Linked DNA regions of Daphnia pulex. The protein of the gene in region 1 purifies or fractionates together with the protein of each later gene. This does not show direct contact. Links are inferred from orthologs where the notes say so. Each region holds a gene or a part of one and is shown in the gene's direction. Other genes may lie near its edges.

Region 1 (4,276 bases):
GGGTAATAATAACAAGGTCACCACTACTTTGTCCCGAGCTGCGCAATAATAACAAGCTGCCTGTCTTGATTATTCGACTAAAAAAACCACAGGTAAAAATCACCAAGCAGTCATCAACCCTAACATCATGGTCCGCACCCATGAAAATCCTTGGATTGAACATTGGGAAATTAAAAAAAAACGGGGTAACATGTCTTTTTTTATAAATGTGGTTGGCATTAAAGCTTTTTGTTTCAAGAACAATTTTCACTTTCACTTTGCGCTGCTTTTTTTTCCTTCATAAATTATTTAGCTATCTCATCCTGGAGTTACACAGGTATAGACTTATTTATCTCAAGCCTTAATATTAAAATTAATTAATTTTTTTTAATAGACCCAGAGGCTTGGCAACATTCATTTCCAACATGTGGCAGTAACCTTCAATCGCCAATCAACATTGAGACGGCCTCTTTGAGAGCCTACCCGAAATTTTACTTTGGAAATTACGGAAACATCGACCGGATGACTGTTACCAATAATGGACACACAGGTAAGAGGATACACGAATAAAATTATTATTGTTGTTTTATGTTTTTATATATTGTGGCTTGCGCAGTGTTGTTTAGCCTTCCCTCGAGCATTCCGGCAGAGTCTATACCCTTTATTACCGGCGGCGGATTATCAAATCGATACAATTTCGTTCAATTTCACTTTCACTGGGGAAATGATTCATCGCACGGCAGCGAGCATCGAATCAAATCTAAAAAGTGCACATTTAATTTAATTTTTTAAATTATTGTGGAAATTATGATTATTTTTAAATTATTTTTAAAGATATTCGGCTGAACTTCACTTGGTTCACTATAATACCAAATACGGATCGTTCTCCGAAGCGACGAAATATGATGACGGTCTAGCCGTTTTGGGTGTTCTCATTAAGGTTTGTTAATTTAGCTAATCTTCTTAATATTATTCGAGTTATTCTAAAACAAATGTCAAAGGTAGGGAAAAAGATTAATTCAGCATTCCGAGCTGTCGTTGATCAGTTGAATGAAGTTGACGAAGACGGTGACGAAACGACACTGGTAAATCTGATTTCATTTAAAGATTTATTACCGTCTCGAACCACCACATTCTTCCGCTATTCCGGTTCTTTTACAACGCCCGGATGTGAGGAAATTATTATCTGGACTGTTTTTGATGATTCCATCACTATCTCCGAGAGCCAGGTAGAGATTCCTTCATGTTTAAAGTATTTTTGTTTTAATACTATTATCCAAAAAAAAAAATTACAGCTATCGAAATTTAGACTTTTAAAAGGAAGAGATAGTTTAACTTTGGTAAATAATTACCGGCCCGTTCAGTCGTTGAGCGGACGCACCGTCACATATAGATCTCGTTCCGGATGTCATATTACGATAAACTGGTCTCATTCTTCCTCACCTATCGTCGACATCTATCAATATAGCACATGCGTATTTTCTTTTTATGCAAATTCTTTCCTAACCATTTTAGGTGTAAATTTATAACAGTGACGCATTATTTCATTTTTCTAAACTGCATAAATATTAATGAAGCTAAATAAATCGAAAATCTACTTGATTCATTGATTGTCGACCCGAAATTCTAAACTGCATAAATATTAATGAAGCTAAATAAATCGAAAATCTACTTGATTCATTGATTGTCGACCCGAAATGAACGAATTAAATAAAACTGGGACAACTTCACTAAATTGCGCATTTGCTCATTTGTTATTATTGTTTTTCGTTTTTCGACGCAGCGTTTGAAAGGTTTTTTTCTTATTTTACTCCAAAACTAATAATGTATGTTTTGATTTAGTAAAAAGTTATTGTAACAGCTTAATATTGATACAAAATGCATTTCCTTCTCTCCCACTAGCATCAACAATGGCTGCAAAGCACATTTTTGTGTTGGATAATGGAGGATTCAACATCAAAGCCGGTTTTGCAAATAATGCAGAACCCCGGTAAATATAACAAAGATTCATAATGTTTTCGTTTAGTATAAACCATATCCACCCTCAATAGTGTCATGCCAAATGCAGTAATGAAAGCAAAAAGTGAAAGAAGGAGGCCTTTCATCGGTGACCAGCTTGATGAATGTCGGGATGTTTCTGGTCTCTACTATATACTCCCTGTTCAAAAAGTATGCAACTTAATTACTTCACAATTTATAAAAATGAATTTACTATATCTTTTTAATTTAGGGCTATCTAATTAATTGGGACACTCAGAAAGATGTTTGGGATTACTTGATGGGAAAAGACTGCTTTAATGTTCACATCAATTCAACTTCACTTGTTTTGACTCAGCCATATCTAAATTTCCAGTCTATTCAGGAAGGAATATGTGAATATTGGTTTGAAGAAGTGGAGTGTGAATCTCTCCTGACAATTAACCGTGAGTTTTTGTCTCTGGTTAATTAATTTAATCTTTTCCTCATGGAATTTTAATGTTATTACAGCTGGAACTTTGAGTGCCTACAAATATGGAAAAGAGAACCCTTCTGAATTGTGCTGCTTGGTGGTAGACTGTGGTTACAGTTTCACACACTTAATCCCTTATGTACAAGGAAAGAAAATCACAGAATTTGTTCATAGGATTGAAATTGGCGGCAAGGTATTAACCAATCATCTGAAAGACATAATTTCCTATAGGTAACCTTCACACACAAGTTATAAATAAATAACAAGTTTTTAAAATAGTATGTTTTAATTGCCATTTACAGGCAATTGAACGTCATGGATGAAACGTACGTTATCAACCAGTTGAAAGAAGACACTTGCATTGTATCCACAGATTTTAATAGCGATATGGCGTTGTCTCAAAAGAGAGGAAAAGACAATCCGTTCGTTGTAGACTACATCCTTCCTGATTTTACAACCATTCGTAGAGGCTATGTGCGACCAAAGGACGAAGCAGGGTCCGGCGAACAGGTCTGAAATTTTTTGCTGATGCCAGACGTTTTTGTTCAAATGTTATAATACATTACACTTTTCGTCTTGCTAGGTTATCAGGATGAATAACGAACGTTTCGCTGTCCCAGAACTGTTGTTTCATCCATCTGACATTGGAATCCAGCAAATGGGAATATCCGAAGCCATTGTTCACGTGATTGAACAATTTCCTTCCGAAGTTCAAAGCCATTTGTACAAAAATATTTTGCTGATCGGCGGATCTTGTTCTTTGCTCAACTTCAAAGAAAGGGTTGAAAAAGATGTTAGGACGATGGCTCCGGCCGAGTGCGAAGTCCGTATCAACATGGCATCCAAGTAAAATACAATATTTTACCATTCATTTATTTGAATCGACATTAACCATCACCCAATATCTCATCTTTCAACTCCTTATAGTCCAGTCACAGATGCCTGGCGAGGAGGATGTAGCTTAACTAAAGATCCTCAATTTTCTTCTCAGTTGGTAACACGTCGAGAATATGAAGAACATGGATTTTCTTTATGTCTTCAACGTTTTGATGTATGAGTTTTTCAACAATAAAATGTATTTCTTTTTTTTCATCTTTTTTCGTCTTTTTTTCATGTTTATTTTATTTTTTTCAATTATTTTATTTTTTTTAAAGTTTTTGGTTTTTATTATTTAACTGTTGCAAAATATTACCACTAGGTTTGAAAAAGATGCCTCAGGCTCTTTCAACCCGGCTGACATTGCACAAATCAGTGTGAAAAACAGCTGAGTGGAAGAATGTGCTGGTGAAACTGCGTCACGGTATTTATTGAGACGTTTTATCTCAAAAGAGTGTTGCTATCGTGAGAGAATAAAATAGCGGTTGCTTGTAATCAAGTGTCTACTGCGGTTTTGAAAAATTCACAAAACATATATCCCACTCTACTTGAAAACGTTCCAGTGCTGGCAGCCTGGCACGTGTTGATTCTCGTCGAGTGAGCAGCTAGCCGGTAGGGAATATCTCGATAACAAGCAAACACATTTTTGGTAAGTTGAGAATCACGACTTTTTAGTAGTTCTTGTTTATACATGTCTTTTAGAATATTGAGAAAGTGTTTTTCGACAATTGTGTGGGATTTATTTCTGTTATGGGAAACATGTTGCTGGAAGCATGCTGAACTAGGTAGTAAATATTATTATTTGAACAAGTGTAAATCTAAGCCTAGGTTGAATGGGGTTCCACAAAAGCAGTAGTTATAAGTTGTCAACGCCTTAGCTTTTTGTTCGTTTCCTCGACGTATTTGATACATCAGCCACAGTCCATAAGGTTCATGTTTCTCCATTTTTTCCCAGAGTATTAAACCAGCTGC
Region 2 (4,907 bases), on another chromosome or scaffold:
CGACGATTACAACGGATATCCTTTCACGCCCGGACAACCTTACAAACAGTTTTACGTCTGCAATTACAGTTCTCGGGGGAATGCCCCGAATAAACCGGTCTACAAAGTGGATTACGCATCCTCTTCCCATTGTCCAAATTATCCTGAATAAACCTGGCAATTGATTACGCAGAATATTTTCTTATCTGTAGTATTTGAATTATTGTCGTGAAAAGAACAAGATAAGCGTAACTAGAATCAATTTGTATTAATGATTACACGTTTGCTTCGATGAAGCCATCAGACGGACAACTTGTCGAAAGACAACGTCGAATTTATTATACCATCAAAGCGACTGTATAAACATAAATCTACATATAGAAATCTGATGATTTCTAGTTGCCAATTTAACCTTTTGAAAAACAACCAACTTGTTTCATTTACATATCAAGTTTTGGTTTTCGTCACCCAAGGGAATAGGGGATTTTTTCCTTTGATAAATGGGTCGCAGAATTTTCTTTTTTAAGTGAAACAATGCCTTCAGGTGTTACCTTTTACAAACTTGGCGGTATAAAACAAACACCTGGCTAAATTTTTCGGCCACTTTGACTAAAACCAAAATCGCGACATGGTGTCCCAGACTCTGTTATTCGGAGCTCTGCTTTTGTCGTTTTTGGTAAGCCTCTTGTTTTACGAAATAATTAATGAATTCTTAATCATTCGTTGAACAATTACTACATACGAGGTTGCAGATCGGCTGGAAGTAGTACAAGCCAGGCCCCCAATTAACTTTGCGGAAGAAGGAAGAAAAATTGACAAATATCACGTTTTGGGACTTCGCGGCAATTTTCACCGAAGGATTATATATATCAACAACATAGTACGTAATAAATATAATGGCAAATTGATTTGCACACATTTTTTGTCGTCTCTTTCTAATGCTTTGAACGATTACTTCCCATTTTTAGCTTTCAGACAAAGACTTGCCTAGAAAAACAACCAAATTAGCTGGCAAATTGGTAAAGAACAGTGTTCAGTTGGTTTTGTTGAGCTATTTAGATTACTTTACTGGCGGAATAACACCTACACTACGGAAGACGGTGACAGCGAAACACGGTTAATCAAAAATGTATAATTGTTTTGTTATTTACATTTAAAGTAACAACCCTGCTAAAATACTATGTCAACCATGAAACTGTTCATCTACAAAAGAATGAAAATTTACAAAAATCGAGGTATATTTTTTCCATGTGAAAAGTAACACAAGTCTCTTTCTCTCCCGTTTGGGAATCCCGTTACAAAAATGAAAATCTCTCTAAGTCTATGTCTCACTCAATGTACACTGAATTCACTTAACGTTTGTCCTGAAAATGCACGTGTCTCTGATCCAACAAATTTTACTTTATAACATTCTGAATTCCACATTTTCTAAAATTTTCATTTGGAAAAAGTCAGTAGATGCTAAATGGTTTGTGTAAAACAATCATAATCGAATATATGCATAAAAAATCTAAAAAAAAATTTGATTACGTTTGCGTTGAAGTAGTAATCGACACCAAAGATGTGTTTCAGACAGCCACTAGGCTAGCTAATGAGCTTTTGTCAAGAAATCATTGCTCCTTTTTATGCCTTTGAAAGTTGGAGCTAAAATCAGCATTGCCATGTTTGATAATTTTTTTAAGATTCGAGGAAAGTAGTAAATAAGTCGATAAGTGTTTTAAAATTTCATATAATTTAATTTAATAAAATTTAATGTTGATGTATAATATTACAAATGCTTTAAAAAAGAATGTAAAGCGAACAATCAATTCAAAACCGTTTCCATGGATACCACCGGCGTTGAACGGGAAGGATAGGAAACTCAACGCACTGTAAAAAGCAAATCATGGCGGTAATATATACACGTGTTATAATTCTTTATTTTGGATAAAATGGCTAATTTTTCCGTTTCCCTTGTGTGCTTTTTTTATTTCTGGACCATATCGTTTCATTTTTTAGGCGATCCCATCAGTTAAAGTAGCAGAAGTGCGAGAATTCTCTCGAATTGAACGAATCGGTACTCACTCTCACATTCGAGGTCTTGGACTTGATGATGCTTTGGAACCAAGAGAAGTACTTTTGAATAATTTGAATAAAAGAATCGTACAAGTTACATATCAAAATGATTGTTAGGTGTCCCAAGGCATGGTTGGCCAGTTGACAGCACGACGAGCTGCTGGTGTGGTACTGGAAATGATTAGAGAAGGAAAAATTGCGGGGAGAGCAGTATTGATTGCTGGACAGCCAGGAACAGGTTAACATTGTCTTTGAATCTGCAATAAACATCCCATTATTTGGTTTATAACACTTTGGTTTACTTTTTAGGCAAAACTGCAATTGCCATGGGTATGGCACAGGCTCTCGGGGACAACACACCTTTCACATCCATGGCCGGATCGGAAATCTACAGCCTTGAAATGAGCAAAACTGAAGCTCTAACTCAAGCATTTCGAAAATCTATTGGAGTTCGAATCAAGTAGATGTGAACTCAAAATTTGTTCAACCTAGAAATCTTGTAACCTTATTTTTCATTTGTTTTCAACAGAGAAGAAACTGAGATCATTGAGGGTGAGGTTGTTGAAGTTCAAATTGATAGACCTGCTACCGGAACTGGTGCTAAAGTTGGAAAGCTGACATTAAAGACAACAGACATGGAAACTGTGTACGATTTGGGCAACAAAATGATTGAATCCCTCATCAAGGAAAAGGTGTGTAATTTGTTTGACAAAAGTGTTTCAATTTTGTATACATATCTTTGTGTGGTTCAGGCCCAAGCTGGAGACGTCATTACCATCGACAAAGCCACTGGCAAGATCTCGAAACTCGGACGATCGTTCACTAGGGCTAGGGATTACGACGCAACTGGACCGCAAACCAGATTTGTTCAGTGTCCCGAAGGTATATTATTTAAATTCCAGTTTTGGTCAAGTGGTTTACGACGACGACGACGACATCGTACGATATTCTTACACCACTCCTATTCTATTTACGTAGGCGAATTACAAAAGCGGAAAGAAGTGACTCACACAGTCACCTTGCACGAGATTGACGTAATCAATAGCAGAACTCAGGGTTTTCTCGCCCTCTTCTCTGGTGAGCTCACATACATTTTTAATTTCCCGACCTTGAAAGTTTACAAAATTAAATCTCTTGTTTTGCATTCAATAGGGGATACTGGTGAAATCAAATCCGAAGTCCGGGACCAGATCAATAGCAAAGTCGCCGAATGGCGCGAAGAGGGCAAAGCGGAAATCGTCCCGGGAGTTTTATTTATTGATGAAGTTTGTGATTAAATCTTCATACCATTCTCCTTCCTGCATATATTTATTCGTACCGTCATGTCTCGACGTAGGTGCACATGCTAGACATGGAATGTTTTTCATTTTTGAATCGTGCTCTGGAAGATGATATGGCGCCAGTGTTGATTATGGCCACTAATCGTGGAATTACTAAAATTCGCGGAACCAAATATCGGAGTCCCCACGGCATCCCAATTGATTTGCTTGATCGGATGGTGATCATTGCCACGCAGCCGTACGTGGAAAAGGAAATGAAGCAAATTCTGAAAATCCGGTAAAATTATCATTTCAATTATTTGATGCGTTGGCTTTGCCTTAATTGATATTTTCTTTGCACAGGTGCGAAGAGGAAGACGCCGAGATGACGGAAGATGCTCTACTCGTTTTGACGAGGCTTTCCTTGGAAACTAGCTTACGCTATGCCATTCAGCTCATCACGGTTGCTAATCTCATAGCTCGCAAACGAAAGGCCATGGAGGTTGGTATTCAGACTGTATTCAGACAGCACGTTATTAATCATTTGCTTTATGCTCTTATCTAAATAGATTGCCGTAGAAGATATTAAAAAGGCGTACACGCTATTCCTGGATGAAACCCGTTCCACCCAGTATCTGAAGGACATTCAAGATGAATTCATGTTTAACGAAGAGGACGAACCAAGTAAGTACCTGAATCATTACGTCTGAGATTTTCTTTTGTGTATTCATTGAAAAATAACATTTTTACAGAATCTGACGTCGCCATGGAGACATCATAACTTAACTCAAAATTCCATTTTGAATGAAAAAGCTTTTTTTTTCCACATTTGTATCGTCTATCAAATAATCCCGTCAAAATAAAAAAGACGCCAAAAAAACAAACAACTACACTCACACGTACTGTTTAAACTGTTTTTCTTCCCGCCTCGTAATAATTGTGTACACCCGAAAAGAAGACAAAAAATACAAAAACACTTTCGGTCAAGCTGCTAGTTTCGGTTGATAGGTGGCTCTGAATGTCCTAAACTCGTCGCTTATTTGCGTCCGTTTGTTACGACTTTTGTGTAAGTAATTTTTACCACGAAAAAGAAGGGGAGGGTAGAAAAAGAAGTTACCACCATGTATAACCCGCCAACACCCGAGCCCTCGAGAGGTGCACCAATCAGAGACGCATCACCTGGTGAGGTAAAGGCGTCGCTCCCGAACCCTCAGTCGTCCGTGAGTGCACCCGCAATAATTTCGTGTCAAATCCGTCGCAAGTCAAGCCAGCGAAAAGGGAAATCAGCACACACACAGCAGCAGAAGAGGAGGCGAAAAAAGACTTTTTCGGCAACGCCGCCCACACTATTCGGTTCGTGAGAGAGCCCTGGCTCACTGCAGAGCGAGGCCTTGACCTACATTTTCAGTCGTGCAGCAGTCCCGCACACACACGCCACCGTATTCGCGAGCTGTGTGTGTGTGCACACAGCCAACACCAAAACAATTTATTTTGAAAATTATCAAAAAATTCCGTATACACCCCGACGAAAAACTGTGCCTATTTCCATCGTTCAGTGTGTGTCCCGCGTGAAAAACAAAAACTCAACGTGATTTCGTACATATAATCCTGTCG

The links. The genes of interacting proteins can lie anywhere in the genome.
Region 2: the proteins of actin-related protein 6-like (region 1) and ruvB-like 2 purify together in Homo sapiens (co-immunoprecipitation; 7 studies listed by BioGRID and IntAct, counting the BioPlex papers as one, with this or other methods). This does not show direct contact. The link is inferred for Daphnia pulex from reciprocal best matches to the Homo sapiens genes ACTR6 and RUVBL2.

What each region holds. Positions count from the first base shown.
Region 1 is NC_060023.1:9,663,020-9,667,295, reverse strand, and holds actin-related protein 6-like, read left to right. Parts: upstream 1-1,713; 5' UTR 1,714-1,772; exon of another isoform or gene 1,773-1,805; intron 1,806-1,881; 5' UTR 1,882-1,889; coding exon 1,890-1,969; intron 1,970-2,030; coding exon 2,031-2,148; intron 2,149-2,209; coding exon 2,210-2,402; intron 2,403-2,466; coding exon 2,467-2,659; intron 2,660-2,730; coding exon 2,731-2,938; intron 2,939-3,011; coding exon 3,012-3,274; intron 3,275-3,355; coding exon 3,356-3,485; 3' UTR 3,486-3,517; downstream 3,518-4,276. Other genes in the region: carbonic anhydrase 2-like, read left to right, coding at 1-2, 93-185, 293-316, 374-529, 596-746, 814-919, 981-1,208, 1,275-1,508. UniProt on the Homo sapiens protein: Required for formation and/or maintenance of proper nucleolar structure and function. Plays a dual role in the regulation of ribosomal DNA (rDNA) transcription.
Region 2 is NC_060021.1:8,103,350-8,108,256, reverse strand, and holds ruvB-like 2, read left to right. Parts: upstream 1-1,768; 5' UTR 1,769-1,864; coding exon 1,865-1,870; intron 1,871-1,977; coding exon 1,978-2,091; exon of another isoform or gene 2,092-2,151; coding exon 2,152-2,272; exon of another isoform or gene 2,273-2,291; intron 2,292-2,343; coding exon 2,344-2,494; exon of another isoform or gene 2,495-2,533; intron 2,534-2,563; coding exon 2,564-2,726; intron 2,727-2,786; coding exon 2,787-2,916; intron 2,917-3,012; coding exon 3,013-3,111; intron 3,112-3,186; coding exon 3,187-3,299; intron 3,300-3,370; coding exon 3,371-3,591; intron 3,592-3,656; coding exon 3,657-3,795; intron 3,796-3,862; coding exon 3,863-3,977; intron 3,978-4,045; coding exon 4,046-4,074; 3' UTR 4,075-4,280; downstream 4,281-4,907. Other genes in the region: uncharacterized protein LOC124194162, read left to right, coding at 608-655, 725-859, 948-1,100. UniProt on the Homo sapiens protein: Possesses single-stranded DNA-stimulated ATPase and ATP-dependent DNA helicase (5' to 3') activity; hexamerization is thought to be critical for ATP hydrolysis and adjacent subunits in the ring-like structure contribute to the ATPase activity.